3 linked regions of the Drosophila melanogaster genome follow. The protein of the gene in region 3 interacts with the protein of the main gene of each other region in a pairwise test. Each region holds a gene or a part of one and is shown on either strand. Other genes may lie near its edges.

The links.
Region 1: the proteins of CG8292 (region 3) and Vha14-1 interact in a two-hybrid assay, tested with the Drosophila melanogaster proteins (one large-scale study listed by BioGRID).
Region 2: the proteins of CG8292 (region 3) and CG31872 interact in a two-hybrid assay, tested with the Drosophila melanogaster proteins (one large-scale study listed by BioGRID).

Annotation. Positions count from the first base shown.
Region 1 is NT_033778.4:15,678,456-15,682,942, forward strand, and holds Vha14-1 (vacuolar H[+] ATPase 14kD subunit 1), read right to left. Parts: upstream 1,630-4,487; 5' UTR 1,528-1,629; coding exon 1,153-1,527; 3' UTR 971-1,152; downstream 1-970. Other genes in the region: Gmppa (GDP-mannose pyrophosphorylase A), read right to left, coding at 1-59, 125-372; CG30091 (uncharacterized protein), read left to right, coding at 2,116-2,390, 2,451-3,187, 3,243-3,288, 3,359-3,489, 3,557-3,948; Impbeta11 (importin beta11), read left to right, coding at 4,350-4,487. UniProt on the Drosophila melanogaster protein: Subunit of the V1 complex of vacuolar(H+)-ATPase (V-ATPase), a multisubunit enzyme composed of a peripheral complex (V1) that hydrolyzes ATP and a membrane integral complex (V0) that translocates protons.
Region 2 is NT_033779.5:10,637,041-10,644,509, reverse strand, and holds CG31872 (uncharacterized protein), read right to left. Parts: upstream 4,580-7,469; 5' UTR 4,565-4,579; coding exon 2,417-4,564; intron 2,334-2,416; coding exon 1,794-2,333; intron 1,727-1,793; coding exon 1,571-1,726; intron 1,513-1,570; coding exon 1,135-1,512; 3' UTR 971-1,134; downstream 1-970. Other genes in the region: CG18284 (uncharacterized protein), read right to left, coding at 25-165, 360-515.
Region 3 is NT_033779.5:8,214,903-8,219,977, forward strand, and holds CG8292 (uncharacterized protein), read right to left. Parts: upstream 3,116-5,075; 5' UTR 2,998-3,115; coding exon 2,785-2,997; intron 2,723-2,784; coding exon 2,072-2,722; 3' UTR 1,949-2,071; downstream 1-1,948. Other genes in the region: CG8353 (uncharacterized protein), read left to right, coding at 1-212; CG8349 (uncharacterized protein), read left to right, coding at 1,084-1,441, 1,501-1,937; Snx6 (sorting nexin 6), read right to left, coding at 3,509-3,602, 3,668-3,777, 3,952-3,969, 4,214-4,396, 4,460-4,904, 4,968-5,075.

The sequences.
Region 1 (4,487 bases), on a different chromosome or scaffold from region 3:
GATCCCGGAAATGGTACATTCCGCCTGCAGTGCCCAAGGCAGTGAACTCCTGAAGGTACCTATGATAAAGGGTAGGTCAACTTGGAACTTAAGATTCAAGTTCTTCCAAAGCCCCTCTTCCCACCTGATGTTGATGTTGCTGCTGCTGTACAGGGCCTGCATGTCGCCCACGAATCCCTCCATTTGGGTCTGCGGATAATAGCCGATGATCAGGATCTCGCGTATATCGGGCAGCTGGGCGCAGGCCTCAATATGATGGGCGATTAGAGGACGACCGGCCAATGGAAAGAGCGGCTTGGGCGTGTCAAGCGAAAGGGGGCGAAAGCGGGTGCCCTTCTGGGGACCGCCGATCAGGATAACGGCCTTTAGCATGGTGTGCGTGCAGCGGTAAGATGACTAATGACGATCGATCAACTTGTGGCCAGGTTCTCAGAAAGATATATTTTATGTTTACGTTGCCAGCTAGAAAATACTCCGCTCTACAACAGCTGATTGCGCTAACAGCCCTTGGAATAGCTGATAACAGACTTAACAGCACGCTGAACTTGTTATCTGGTAAATTTATACAAGATATTCCTTTAGCCTTAAAATCAGCAACACCAAACTCATTGAAAATGTATGGAACATTTAACACAGCTAATCTAATTTCAAAATTTAATAGCTAATTTATTTTAATGAAAATTCTAGATACCACATTTATGCGGGGCATACTGTTAATCAAGTTTCTTATCTACTGGTAAAAAAAATTATTCTGGCAACAAATTGATAAATAAATAACCAATGCCATTGCCAAAAATTAGATTTCTTACAAATCTGCAAATGAGAGTTGTAAGGATGAACACCAATTTAGTGGCTTAATATATTTTTGACCTATCGAATGCGCACTGTATCTTTGCTGGAAGACTGTTACTTGACATAGCTGGAAAGACCTTTCAATGGAAAACCTCCAGATATCAGACTTCCAGTATTTGATTTGGAACAATTTGATTTTAATCTATTTATACAACGAAAACCATTTAATAAATGTCTTTAAATACACGATAAGAACAAAGGCGAAGCACTGAATCTATGGATAGTTGTTTACAGGGTGTAAAGCAATTCTCTGGCGGTTGCAGCAATACGAAACAGTGTCCTCGAGCAGAATTCGAGGAATTAGCGCACCAGATCCTCCGGATTGAACATGCCGCGGGCGCGACGCAGAATGGAGTCCTTGCTGGCGTCGTACGGATGGTCCTTGGAGGGAATCTCCAAAACAGCGGGCACGGGCGACGTATGGGCATCGATCACATGACGAATAAGCTCGGCGCAGTTCTGGTTGATTAGAATGATGTCGATATCGTCCCGCTTAAGGAAACGCTTGAAACAGTCCTCCAGTTCGCTGACGGCCGTATTTTTGTCGACCACCATAAAGTTGGGATGGCGATTCTTGTTGATCTCGCCCACTCCGCCGAGCAGAAAGCCCACACAGGTGTCCTCGTCGCCGATAACGCTGATCAGTTTTCCCTTGATTGCCGAGTGCAGAGCCATTTCGATTGGTTTTTTCTAATTTTTTCTTACGAGCGATGTGGACAGCGAAATTAAAACCTAACTCTGGAAAATGTACGGGTCAGCTGGTCTCTATCACATGACACAGTTGCGGTCTACAGCACTGGAAGGCGCCTAACAGCACCGCATTGGTATTCTTAGTAGGTATTTTAGTACCGTAGCGTAACGGTATCTTCTGATGGTGTGACCGTAAGGCACAGTGTTATTTGTGATTTTTAAATAAATGAAAATACTGTTAAGAGCTTTAATGTTTTTTTTATTGCTAATCGAGCGTATTAGTTTTAAATGTGTTTTAAATTCCAGGAATTAAGAAGTAGCTTGCCATAAATTATATTCTGGTTTTAAGAAAAATATCCATTTTTCTGAAAATTTGGATCTAAAATTCTTAATTTTTCAGTTGTTCAAAAAGGTCAAGTTATTTAGCGCTAAAAACATTTTGGTAAAATCCCGCTCTTTCTGATAAGAGTAAAAATATTAATAGAAACAGCATTCTCATAGCTGATAAGCTTTTCTTCAAATTCACGACGCACAGCAGCTCACTTTCAGTGTGTTTGAAGGTTTTCACTGGAAATGTGCAGAGCTTGGGTTGTTTTATTCGCTTGGATGCTGACGGCGGGACGAGGATCGGCCCGCCTTTTGGACGAGGATTGTGGAGTTCCGATGCAATTAATACCGAAGATTGTAGGTGGAGTGGATGCGGGGGAACTGAAGAATCCGTGGATGGCCCTCATAAAAACCAATGACGAATTTATCTGCGGAGGATCGGTAATTACTAACAAATTCGTCTTGACGGCCGCTCATTGTATGTGCACCGATGAGGAATGCATTGTAAAGTACACTCAGCTGTAAGCACCTTAAATTAATAAATAATATAATATAATTGAATAATTATATGTGATTTGCAGCACAGTTACCTTGGGTGTGTACCATCTACTGGCGACGGGTGAACACAATCATCCCCACGAGATATACAACGTGGAGAGGGTCTACATCCACGATTCCTTCGCGATACAAAACTATCGCAATGACATAGCGCTTCTTAGGTTGCAAAAAAGTATCGTTTACAAGCCACAAATCAAACCGTTATGTATTTTACTGAACGACCAACTCAAGCCGCAAACGGATCTCATCCAGGAGTTCACAGCAATCGGCTGGGGCGTAACGGGCAATGGGAAGATGAGTAACAATCTTCAAATGGTCAAGATCTACAGAATAGATAGGAAAATGTGCGAGGCAGCATTTTGGTACACTTTTGATTACCCAATGTTCTGTGCCGGCACCGCGGTAGGCAGAGATACCTGCAAAAGGGACTCCGGTGGACCCTTGTACATACATATGTTGTTCGATGGCATCAAGCGAGCAACGCAGTTGGGAATCGTCAGCACTGGCACCGAAGATTGCAGAGGTTTCGGTATGTACACCGATGTAATGGGCCATATCGACTTTATCGAGCGCATTGTTCTGGATGCGGACATTGAGGTGGTGCTACCCTATATAGACCTACTCGATGCTGGGTGTCTGGGCAACGACACGTTGAACAGCTGGGATAGAAGTGGTCCCGATGCGATCAGGTCCTTCGAGTGGTTGGCTGAGGTCTACAAGGATTCCTTTATAATCTCAAACGGCGCACTTATTTCGAAAAGTTGTCATCTTTTCTTTCCTCATTCGAAAAGATTACTAATGTGTTCTTCTTGTAGCTTTCGTGGTGACAACGGCGCAGTTGATTTCCGAAAGTACGGCATTGTAAGTACTTTGATCCCTTGGGAGGAGAAAGTTGAGTAATCTGAGTGCAATTGTATGTACATACATCTAGAAAGGTTCAACTGGGACAAGGCGATGTGCATACCTACGCTGTCGCATCTGTTCACAAGCATCCCAAATTCGTTAGCCTGGCCCAAAACGACATAGCTCTGCTTAAACTGGGCGAGGAAGTGCAGTACACGGGTGAGTGTCTTCCAAAGGCCATACGGATTAGCTTCATAATCATAATGTGTTCATTTTATGCGGCTAGAATCGATTCGACCGATCTGCCTGCCCTCGCTAAGCAACAAAGCGGAGCAGCAGAAGTTCCAAAGGCGTGCTGCTGATCCCGCCCTGAATCTCATAGCCGTTGGCTGGGGCACGCCGACTAACGTGGTGGTGCGGCGAACAAATGCCAGTAAGTGCTACCGGGAGGATCACCAAGACATCGGAGAGCAACAGTTGTGCATGGAAAGCCCTTCTCCTCATCTCCTGCGCGTGGGCATTGGCAGTCCCTTGGTAAACCCTCTAACCCACGGAAACAGGAGGGCATTCAGCCTGGTCGGACTGGCGAGCTTTGGCAGGTTAGAGCCTTTCGCTTCAAATGTCTACACCAATGTTCTCGAATACTTGGACTGGATCGGGGAAATGGTTAAGGCGTAGAGAATTCTTTGAAAAGTTTTAAGTTCTGCGATATGAAAACCATTTGATTTAATAAAGTTAATAGTAATAATAATATCAAAAATTTCATATACTGTAAGCCCACTTAACGAGAAGTTTAAATGCTTGCAAAATTACTTATATATTCAGAAATACTATTTTAGTAATAGTTGTTATTAAATGTATTGTAATTTCTTTTAAAATTCCATTTCAACAAAAACTTAACAAACAATAATTTAAATTTGAAATTTTTTGCAAAATTATTTATATTAAAATTTGCTGTTTTAGTATTTTCCAGCATTTGCGGTCGGTCACACTGAAATTCAAGCAAGAAGCAGCACGCGCCGCAGAAATTTGCCAATAATTTTCGTCCTCGCAAGCGTCGCAAGAGGAGGCGTCGTGTGATGGAAATGGCAACGGGAGCAGTATCTGGAGCAGCCGCAGCGGGTGCTGGAGCGTCGGTGGAGCAGCTGGTAGCCCAGACACTGCAGGCGGCCACAAATCCGAGCCATGAGATTGTCCAGAAGGCGGAGGCGCAGCTG
Region 2 (7,469 bases), 2.4 Mb from region 3:
AATCTTATGAGTGGTATGGCTCACCGTCTCCAGCTTGGCGTCGATCTGGATGTCCACCTCCGCAAAGAATTGTTGGTAACTAGCTTGTTGACATTGTAAACATGACCTTGGTTCAGGCTGTGATTGAATTTGAGCTTGACTTTGTGATTGTGACGTCCCTTGACTCTGAAATGGGAATTACGCTTGATTAGGCTTCCGATTGAGAGGTTGTGATTGTAGTTTATAGGTGATTAAGCACGTCCTTACAATAAATCTTGCGACTGTGATTGAGTTTACCCTTGACGGTAAGCTTGGGTTTTTTAGGTAGTGGTTGTTCTAGGTCCAACGGATCTTAGCTGCTTTGCACTCTCTTTGTTTACCTGAATCTGTGATTGTGACTGCCACTGTGTCTGTTCATTCAATCCTTGATTTTCATCTACAGGATATGCATATGGAACCCATTCCTGAGTCTTGCTGGGTACCAAACTACCCACTAAAATTATTGCATAGATCGCAATATTAAATGCGATCGCCATTTCGTTCCCTTCTTGTCTACTCTCGAAGGCAGAAATGAAATCGAACTCTTTTATAGCGTTAATGATAAAATACCCTGAAATTAAAATATCCATGCTTGGAGTGAATAACTAGATTAACATATCGATCGAGCATCACTAAAGTAATATTTAACAAAGGGCAACCTTGATCAAGGGTTTAATAAATACATTTTTTGTATTCAAGCAGCTAGATGTAAAGATATCGTAACTTTTTAAAGGAGCTTGAATTACAGGTTGATCATAATTAATCGTAAAAGAAGATTGTACTTAGTATGATAGGTATCGTTATTCTTTAGTATTTTGTTTGATTGATTTGTGACCTCATTAAATAACACGGATAAAAACATAACAATTGTCTCTGGCCTGAATTCACCCTAAACACTGGCGACTTTTGTCGGTTTATTCATTTCCATATTTTCGATTATCATAATAAAAGTCTTTCTTTATTACAGCTGGGAAAATTGTAAAATATTTGTATATATTTAATTTCCCTTAATAAAAATTATATTTATTTCCGAGCCCTTAGGAAAAGGCAATTTCACATATGTGCCAAGCAAATCTATTAATTGATTTGCTAATATTTCATTCGTAAGCTAAAAGTTCAATTTGAACCGCACAAATCGATTACGCGATCGTAGACCAAGGATCGAACATCCTTCGAAATCGTGAAGTCGAAGTGCGAGAATCCTTCGAAGCGAATGTTCCTGTTTTCTATGCAGTTGGGCAGGTCCCGCTCCAGTCGAAGGACATCCGATTCGGATCCCAACCAGTCGCCATCTCCGCGGTGAAGAGCCACCTTGCCCAGTGCCAGGGAAAGGTTGTAAAGTGGGGGAAAGATCGACTGGTAGCGTATCTTATTCAGAATTAGCCCGTAGTCGTACTTTTGGAAAGCAGAATTGCCCTGCAATTGGGCGAAATGATAGATCTGCTTGGCGGAGCTTCCCTGCGAGGCGTGACCTTCCAAAATGGGGGATAGTGTCTACAAAAGAAGGTAATATCTGAACCCTTGAAAACAAAATCAGGGACTTGTTTTCTACCATATTGAAGCTGTTGAAGTTAAATCCACAGACCACAAATTCAAAGATGGCACAGATGCGACTGGGGATAAGCTTGTTGCAGATGTGGTTACGGAACATGTCAACGATCCGGTTTTTCAGGGAGATCTTGTGGCCGCCCAGGAGATTAAGCAGCATCTATAATATTGAATATATATCGAACCATATAGAAATGATATACCTTTTAAACTTCTCCTGTACTTACTGTGAAGCCACCCTGAAGAACTTTCATAAACTTGAGTGCTGGACTGCGTGTTCCTTCCATATAAACTGATGGCGAGAGGGACTGCATCAATGAGATCTTGCCTGCATACTCAGGTCTTTCACTACACATCACAAAGAAGGCCGTGGATCCCTGCGAGTGACCAATGTACTGGATGCTCGGCATTTTAGTCTGCAGCAGGATCAAGTCGATGGCAGCGGGTAGATCGTACTGCCCGATCTCGTGGAAGGAGAAGTCCCAGAAGATCTTGTCGCTCTCCCGACCGGCCAGGCGCTCCTCTGAGTAAACGTTACCCCTAGTGTTCAACATCCAGACGTCGTAGCCGCTTTGGGACAGGATATAGGCCAGACCCTGGGATGGACCGAACTGCACCCAAGTGTCCGAGCTGGCCATGAGGCCATGGACCAATAGGACGGGTGTGGCTCCAGATCGCGGAATCCGATGCAGGCAGAGCTTGTAGCCGTCGGCAGTGAATGCGTAATGGGTCTCTGCTTGATGGCCATATTTTGAGATCATTTTGGGCTGTCAAATGATAGAGAAATATATAGAAACCTTTATTATAGTAACTGCTGTCCCCATGGAATCTCTTGAGTGAAATGGCTCACCGTGTCCAGCTTGGCGTCAATCTCGATGTCCACTTCCGTAATGTATTGTGGGTAACTAGCTTTCTGGCACTGTGAACATGACCTTGGAGCAGGTTGTTCGTCAAGATCATCATCAAATTTGGGGCCCTGATCTTGGTCTTGACGTTGTGATTGTAATTGCGATTGCCTCTCGTTGGGAGCTTGTGATTGTGATTGATCTTGCTCTTGCGATTGTGATTGTGATTGAGCTTGCTCCTGGATTTGAGCATGGGCTTGAGTTAGTGATTGTGCAAGCGCTTCAACTGCTTGAACTTGGGATTGCTGTTGGGATTGCGTTAGTGATGTACCTGAGGCTTGAGTCTGTGATTGAAGTTGCTCTTGTACTTCAGCTTGGGCTTGATGTAGTGATTGGTCCAAAGCGGTATTTTGCGCTACATCCCCAGCTTGATCGCCTGATTGATCATCAGATCGAAGTGGTTCTTGCTGCGGTGATTGAACTTCAGATTGCTGTTGCGCTTGCGCTTTCCTCAAGGTTGTAAGAATTATACCATGAGCTTCTGATTGGGCTTGAGATTTCCGCTGAAGCTTAGTATTCGCTTGTTCTTGTGATTGGGATTGAGCATCCAATTGAGCTTGCGTCGGAGATTGGTCTAAAGCGGTATCTTGATCTCGATCCTCTGGTTGAAGTTGTGGTGGTTGAAAGATTGGAGTTCCTTGTGCTTGAGTCTGAGATTGATATTGAACATGAGCTTCTTCTAGAGCCTGATCGAGAGTCTGAGCTTGCGCTTGAGCTTGAGCCTTGTCTTGATCGTTAGTCTGTGACAGAAGTTGTTTTATTATTTCACTTTGGGCTTGATGAAGTGATTGATCTACGGGGTCTTCCTTTGCTTGATCGTCTGGTTCGACCAGCGATTGTTGCGTCGTTTGAGACAGTGATATTCCTTGTGATTGAGCCTGAGATTGATATTGAACATGCGCATCTTCCAGAGCCTGATCGAGAACTTGAGCTTGCATTTGAGCTTGAGCCTTTAATTGACCGTTAGTCTGCGACTTAACTTGGTTTAGTACTTCAGATTGCGCTTGATGAAGTGATTGGTCTATGGGATCTTCTTGTGCTTGATCCTCTGCTTGAACTAGCGATTGTTGTGGTGATAGAGGCGGTGCACCCCCTTTTTCCAGAGCCTGCGATTGATCTTGCGATTGTGCTTGATCTTGGGACTGTTCTTGACCCTCTAACTGCAATTGTGACCGCTCTTGAGCCTGTGATTCAGCTTGGTCCTGATTCTCTGCTACATCTCCCGATTGCTGTGATGATCGATTTTCAGCGTTTGCCGATTCTGGATTAATAGCCTCATCTTGGGATTGAGCTTGATCCTGCGATTGGGATTGCCCTTGTATCTCCTTTTCCAGTCCTTGTCTTTGATTCTGAATTTGAGATTCCGTTTGCGCCAGACCTTGTCTAAGAACTTCAGCTTCATCTTCAATCTGTGATTGAGCCTGGTCTTGCTTTTGATCTCCCTCTTCATTTGGTGGTACTAAAGCTATTTTTCCCGACAGTCCTCCTGGTGCTTCAGCTTCTTCACTTTCTGGATCATCGGCGTTTCTTTGTGATGAAGTTTGAATATGCGGATAAGGTTTTTCTCGTAATTTAGCTCCATCTTGATTCAGTGATTGTTGAATCTGGGTCTGTTGCTGCGATTGAGCCAGTCCTAGTTGTTGCGATTGGAATTGTTTTTGGACTTTAGTTCTGGCTATATTCGCGTATTGGATTTGTTGCTGTGATTGACCTAGACCTTGAGCCTGCGATTGTGATTGAGATTGCTTTTGGATTTGAAGCTTCGCTTCTTCAAGCCCTCGGCTAAACGATTGGGCCTGTCCTTCAGATTCAACTGAGGGCTTATAGCTTGAATTACTTTCCAAGACTATTGGTTGAGGTTTAAACACGAATCCGTAATCTTTTACAATGGATTCTCTTTGCAAGCGCACCTTTTGCTCATCTTCTGTTGAATCTGCATCGCCATTGATGTCCAATATGCTCTCAACCGCAGGAAGGATCGGGGGGCTTATAATATTGTTCAATTGATTGTTTATATCAATAATTCCCTCGCTGGGTTCCACTCGAAATATCGCCAAGAGCGCAACGAATGCGTAAAGGAATCCTAACTGCATTCTGAAACTACTTTTAGCAGCGAATCGGAAAGGAGCCTTTTATAGGCTCGCAAATGAAATGCCATGAAATTGATAACACATGGATTAAAGCGATTTTAAATGGATTATCTCTCGATGTTACATCACAAGTGGCAAATGAGTTGGGACAGCAAGATTGATGGGCTTCTTGAAAATACATTTTATTGTTACAATTCCAGGATTTGGTATTGAATAAGTGTTTTTTTTTTTGCCTTAGCTTCCCAGTTACAAACACAAGATATAGATCAAGTGTGTGGTTTGCGGATTTTTCATTTAATCGAACTTAAATAACTAATTATGTTAAGTAGAAGCTTAAGGATACACTTGATTTTTTTATTACCATCTAAAATCAAAAATAGTGAAACTGTAATTTAAAGAAGAACAATGGAGAATTTAAGGCGCTTCGGTTTGGGTAAAGTTACTGAACTTTTGACAATCTAATTGCACAAGTGCACGAGGCGCAACCGTTATTATCCTTGGTCCTTGTTTCGTCCTTGTTCCGGTGGCGTTGGCAAATTCACGCCACTCGCTTGTTTGCGCAAATTTGATTATCAAAATACCCAAGGAGAGTGCAGCCGTGGTCGGAAAAGTCGGGAAAGAAGTCGCGAAAGGAAGAAGGATAATGCCATGTCGCCGCATTAGCGCCTCTGGTGGGTCGGGTTGGGCGTGGTCGTTGTCCCGTGAAACAAGCTCGAAATTGAGTTTGCCTAGTGTCCTTGCGCCCCTTTAATACCACCCCCTCCTGTCCACCACCACTAGCCCTTTTGCCTGCTGGGCTGATTAAAGCTCCATGCCAACTTGCGGTGATTTGCTTTTTTTTTCTGGCACCATCATTTGGATGCAGTGGCGCCCTGCACAAATGGGGCATTAAGCCCTCCGATGTCGGGACCTGACATATATTAAATTTCATCTCGCCGTCAGTCGGATTCGGATGCGGAATCGGGCGCCTAATGAAGGTTAAGCAACTTTTAATGTCCCGGCCCGGGCCATTTTGCAGACCATTAAATGTTTCGCCTGGCAATATGCCATATGTTTCCAGCATGGACATAAGCCCCATGTCCGGAAAATGTTCGCTACGTTCTGCAAAAACTTTACTTATCATTTCAACGCCAAAAGCCATAAAGACGCTCGCTAAGTCTGCGTGTGTTTGTGATGACACGACGATGACAGTAATCGTAATCCTAGTCATGGTAATGATGACACTGGGGCGCTCAGCCCACAGTCATGCCATATAAGCATATGGCGGTTGGGTTCCAGGAATCAGGCTGGGCAGAGACACTTAACGGTCATGTGGAGGGCTAACGAGCGATTTCACCCTTTATGGCCAGCATTTGGATGCCATCGGTTATCGGATTCCGTCACGAGTATTTTCAATTAGTAATGTGGACTGTGGAAATCGGTTTCACTGGCGTATCGCATTGATATGATTGCTCTTTGTGTTATTAGTTAATTGTTCTGGTTGTTCAATGTATTTCCTTTGGGCTTCCCACACATGTAGTTTCACTCACCGCCAGTGTCACGCCCGATGGACACCTTCCGGAATCCCAGTCAATCGCAATTGGTGTGACTTTCGACTGCCTCAGTTGCTCCTGAACTCCTGAGTTCAATCTTCAATCGTTACCCCTTTGCACTCGAGCAGAACGCGACGCAGTCTTAAGTGGTATGAAGATTGTAACATTCGAACCTTGGTGCACTTGAACAAGTAAGATGGTTGAAATTTAACACTTTTTTTTACTTTTAGGTAAGAGATATAACTATTAGTAGATTTCCATTTTATAATTAATACCACTAGAGCTAATCTCTGGGGATTTAAAAATTACATTCTAAACAGTTTCATCCAGGAAAGCATGTTCTGAATTGATGCTTGTGAGATTTTCTTTTTCTGAGTGTATTTTTTGCCTGGTTATGTGAGCGTTTTCCATGTTCACACAAGTACAGCCCCCCCCCCCCTTTGCCGGCGGCACACCCCTCAGTAATTTCATGCTCCATTGGCCAACGAAATCGCCACACAATCAAAGGAAAAGCTTCGCCCTTTTCGTCAAGACATGAAGTTATACAACCATCGAGGTGAATGCTAAGAATTTGGCCCACATTGTGGCACTTCGAGAGTTCGCTGAAATATATATATATATATAGTATTTAAATTCACAGGCCCAATTTATGCACTTCTAAGTTTTTGAAACGAGACTCGTACATTCATTTCGGCCAGCCAACGCAACTTTCGATTGGCGTTTGTCCAGGGTCCTTGTAGCGATATTTATGCAGTTTTTCCATGGAACAAGGGAATACTATCTCCAGCTGTCGCTGTTGTTGTTCTTGTCACTGCATTCATGGCCACTTCTTTCCGCTCGCCATTTCTTTTGGGCTTTCTCCGCTCCGCTCCGCACTGGTCCACTTCACTCCACTCCATTTTTATTTATTTTCCCCGACTTTTGTATTTCTGTTTGCATTTTTTTTAAACACGTTTCTTTTTTGTGCTGCTGTCGGGCGCCCCAACACGAGAAGTCCATTTCGAAATTTATGTACACACAAATTGAAAGCGTTGGAAGGGACTGAGAGCCGAAATGAAGGAAAGAAAAGTGTTTTGGTGCTGGCGGAAAAACCGTTGGCTGCATTTCTCGAATTGCAGTTTCGGTGCAAAAAGAATTCGGGGCAGAAAAATACAAACGATATGCCTTTAAGTGACACTTGCCAGGAGGTTTTGTATTCCCGATGGGTGGAGTCCTTTTTGGTGGAGCGGACCGATAGTCCAAAACCGTCGACAAAACGTTTGGATTGTTGATTTTGGAGCGGGGAAAAGGCGAGAGATAAACTCAATTGAAAAGAGATCAGATAATGCTTCGACCACTGGGAAAATGTTTAAATAAAATTATCTAAATCCTTTCGC
Region 3 (5,075 bases):
TGGCCTACGAACCTAATGTATTCACCACTCCTTGCGGCGTTTGTCGTCAGTTTATACGCGAGTTTGCCAACGCGGATATACCCATATATGTGGCCCAGGCGATCGATGCGAGGATTGCTGAAAAGCAGGAACTTTTGCAGAGTGACGATCCCGTCATGTGCACCTCAATCTTTAATCTGTTGCCGAGCAGTTTTCACACCTATCGAAAGTAACGACCACTGCAGGCAAGAACCGAAAATAGGCAGAAGGTAGCTAGGTAAAGGTTGTTTCTCAACCCCTTGCTGCCTCTAATCAATATAATTTTGATCTAATCACTTGCAATAAAGAAAATTACACTACTTAGCAGTGTTTAATGTTTTTTTTTCGATCAATGAATAGGAAATGGGGATATAAATGCTGGAAAGATTGACACAGTGAAAGATTCTAGGAAAAGGTGTTTAATCGCTTTTGATTATATATCAAAATTAAGGTTATAAATTAAAGATATCGAATTTGGATTGACAACTGCTGACGTTAAGCGCAATGCAGGGAATGCCCCGATTTGTGATGACGTGATAAATGCACTCAACTTCTGATTCATAAACACCAAATTATTGTGAGATTAAATTTCGCCATTTGTATAGTAGCGAAAATAAGAAAGATCATTGTGGTAGTGGCAATCTTTTAAATCAAATTTATAAGGTTTGTTTCCAATTCCTTTGGATTCTAGTTTTTGAGATCATGATGTTCATACGAACAATAAGACAGACTGGCTAGACCGATGTCGCGATAAAGGCGCGTTCAAAACGCGTCCGAAACGCGTCGAAAACGCGCGAGCTTTTTCGACATTCTTAATTTGTAAAAATTTTAAACGTATTTAGTTGTTGTTGTTGTTTCATTAAATGCCTTAATGAACATCAACTGTAATAAATGTAATAAAAATTCAAATGGCGCTAAATAATATAATATAATCATTTTTATGAAAAAGAAACAAAAAGAAAATAATTTGTTTGACATTAGTGTTTTACAAATTGCCAACAGATACAGCATTTGCTTCTGGCTTTCAAAAATTGTTTTCGTTTTAAAAATTTGAAGTTCTGCAAAATGTCCGAAAAGCGGAAGCTCCTTCAGCGCTACATGCGGAACCTGAGCGACCTACAGGATGAGCTGAAGCGAAAAGAGCTGGAGAAGAAGATGAAGGAACTGGAAATGTTGCAGGCGAAGCTAGCTCGTCGCCAGGAGCAATCTGGCACCAAGTGCGCTGGCGGTAAGATCAAGAACTTGCGCCAGAAGAATCTTCGAAAGGTACTGGGAAAGTATATGATGACCTTGGAGGGATTTCTATGCGAGCTAGCACGCAGGGAGGCGCGTCTAAATGGCGACAGGGGTCGGGCTAGTGAATCCGAAAACCTGCCACATCCACAGATGTTGGAGGAGTACACAGTAGCGTTCTGTGCTGTTGGTAAGGCTTGGCTATAATGGTGAATCCTCTGCCATTGGTAATCAAACCGTAATCTCCAGGTGAGGATGGCCGGGAGCTGCTAGAGGCGGCTCTTTCTGCCCGTCGATGTGCCTATGCGCCCTACAGCAAATTCAAAGTGGGAGCAGCCTTCCGTGCGAAGTGCGGCAGGATCTACGCGGGCTGCAACATCGAGAACGTAGCTTTCACTCCAGGCAATTGTGCGGAGCGTTGTGCCCTGGCCAAGGGTATCAGCGAGGGCGAGAAGAAGTATACGGCGGGTGCTGTGGTAGCCTATCACCCAGATGGGTTTACCACACCTTGCGGAGTCTGCCGGCAGTTCATTTTGGAGTTCATCCAAAATGATATTCCTATCTACATTGCCAAGGCTCCGCCGCCGGAGCAAGAGAACTGCATTCCTTCAATTCCGGACGAAGCTGAAGTGCTGGTCACGTCCGCCTACCATCTGCTTCCCCACAGCTTTAACTCATTTGAATGAAATTTTCATCTAAATAATATCCAGAATTTATTTAATGCAATAAAATTATTCGTTCTAATGTCAATAAGTATTGCAAATAATTTAAGTTAGCGATCTGATTAACTTGACAAAAAGTCAAAACAATGTGTAGAGAACTAAACGTATTTGATAACTGGTTCTCCCGATCCGTAGATGCCGTATTCGCTTTTCTCCGCAAACGGAGTGACTTCCTCGTGCACGAGTATGGGCTTAACTTCTGGATCGAATTCAACCCTTCGAAATTGTGGATCCGTGAAATTAGCGCGCACCTCGGTGACCATTCCCGAATGCGGCACTCGTTTGGTGAGGTTTTGAAACTCACAGCGTCGCTTTGGGCAATTATGCGTATTACCCTCGTCACACATTGTAGGATCCTCTTCGCGGGACACTTTCTGGATGGGCGGCATCTTCTCCGTCCAATTCCAGTATGTAATATTGTCGTGGGCAGCTACTCCGCCACACAAGTCCTCGGGACCCCAGCGCACATACGACAGATTGTATGTGGTGGAGGAGGGATCAAGGTACTTGCTAAAGGACGCCTCCGAACGGTCGATGACTAGCTTGGTGGCTACCACCGGAGTGGGCATTGTTACAGGCAATATTTCCTGTTCCTCCGGCAGCTCCTTAAGTACATACGACTCATGACTGACACTAGAAATGGGCTTCATCTTTCGCTTTACAAAGCGAAGGGAACCCTCCTCAAATGGTTTCATATACTGTGTTTTCATGTTGAGCGAGGGATTTCTAAGTGCGTTGGGATCGTTATACTGGAACATCATGGTCACGTTTTAGTTTGGTGCAACATATCTCAGCATATCAATCAACTCACCTGCCACACATAGTTGGCCATGCACTCAGAAGTCGGCTTCTCGGACAGCAGCGGATCTTTTACATAAATACCCTTATCCGTAAACTTGGCGTTCAGCTTGTTACCCATTCTCAAGTCTGTAATGTGGCGATGCCCTCGATAGTACGAGGTCCTCCAATCGGGATCTGTAGCGCTGGCAGGGCGCTTGTAATCGAAGACGCCGAACTCATCCATGGCTTATGGACTTTGAAAATCTATCTAACACTGACAACAAACACAATTTTCAGCGACAATGGAAATGTGCACCCCTTGAGACGCTTAATTTGGAAACCCTTGATGTTGCCCAGTTACCGAATAGACTCCAAACAATGCTAGTATACTGACTGCTCACAAACAGCCAGCCTTCTGTACAATATTTCTCGTTTATATTCTGCTTCAAATGCAAGTGTTTACAATATATGTAGTTGTAGTTTATGCTGTAGAGAGGAATGCTTGTTTGACAAATATAAAAGCGCTCTGTTCACAAAACAAATGAATATTCGTTAATATAATACGTGGGCTAAGATAATAATGTTGCACTCGATTTGGCCTGTGCAATAATAAACTGTTTGCTTAGCAATTAAACAATTGATTTACTTCGTCTCCCGGATGTGTGTAATCGATGAGGCTTGCGTTTCAATGGGGTGTGTAAACAATGTGCGGGTGACTCATCCTTCTATTCCTTGTCTACTTCCGGCTCCCCGTCTCAGGCAATCTCTTTGAGCGCTAGCAGTGATTGGCGCAGATATTCATACTGCGTCTTGGCATGCTTGATCTCCAGCTCTGAGAGCTCGACGAGGCTGTGTTTAGAAAAGCGATAATAAAATGCAGAGCATAGCAAAATGTTTAGCAGCTGCTGACTCACCTCTTCTTGAAAGCAGCTACCCGTCGGTTGCGGAAACCGATCAACTCCTCCTTTCCACATGCAGACATAGATTCGAATTTTTCACAGGCCTCCGCCTGGGCAGTCTCGGCCTAATTGGAGGATAAACAAAAACGATTATATACAGGGAACACAACAAGTGGGCCACAGCAAGGGCATGCTAAAGTGAATACAACAGATTGAGCAACGGTGGAGCGCATGCAGCATTTACGTGGGGTGGCGACACATCTACTAAACCGACGGTTAAAACGTTAAATGCCAAATACCTCTTGCACCTCCAACGGCTGCAGAAACAGAACCACAAACACGCACAAAAAGTGAAGAGGGAGGGACAGGCAGATCAGAGAGTTGTGAGGTTGTGTACGGTAGCAATAAAATACAAGAACGCAAATAATTTGTTATTTGTAATTAGTGAAGCGTGAGAATTAATTGACCCGCTGGAAACTTTTTGTAGGGAAAACAATTGCTCTTTAAACGATCTGAAACATAGTTCTGGAAGAACTAGTTGTGATCATCCCTCAATCTTACCGCATGAACATCCTTGTTTTTGGAGCGAGCCTTCTCCAGGTTTCGATTGGCCGCTTCATAAGCAGCCAAACACCGCAGTCGCCGGATAAGTAGAGCTTTGGCAGCGTCGCTATCCCGCTGATAGTAGCGCAGAGTGTCGCCCAGCTTGAGATCTTGATCGCTAGCCACTCGGGTTTCCAGATTCTTTAAAATATCAAGAGGAAAATTTATAAAATATAATTATAGCGAAAACGCAGCGTAGCGCACCTTGATCCTTTCAAATATCTCCGCTGTCTTGGCCACAAACGTCTCCACATTTCCCTTTTCCGTAGTCGAGAGCTGCGTCAACGCATTCGAAATCTTCTGATGCGAGTCGCCTACATCCTTGTGGCGTTGCGTCATTTTCTCCGTCCTGAGTGCTGCCTCGCGCAAGTGGCCGTGGTACTCGGTAAGGAACTGCAGCTCGTTCTCAAAGAAGTCATTTACATCCCGAACCGTGGCGCTCAACAAGATCTCGTCTGTGGTCTTGCCCAGGGACTTGACAAAGCCGCCAAAGATGGCCATCTTCTTGCGTGGCTTAGCGCACAGATCTTGGTCGTATTCCAGGAAAACCTTCAAGTGCTGATCGACGCGAAAGACGGGATGACTAGCAAGGCGGCGCAGGAAAACCTCGTGCATGGCCACCGTCTTCTTGAAGGTAGCTAGGTACTCACTGGCAAGTAAAGATGTACATTAGTATATAAGAAAATGACTATTTGGATTAATTGACACTTACGCCTCCAGCTCTGACTTCATCTTTTTGAACTCCTCTTTGGTCATGTTGCCTTCGCCCTCGCCAAGACGCTGCAGCTTCTCTCGGGAGGCATCGAAGTCCGGACGAGGT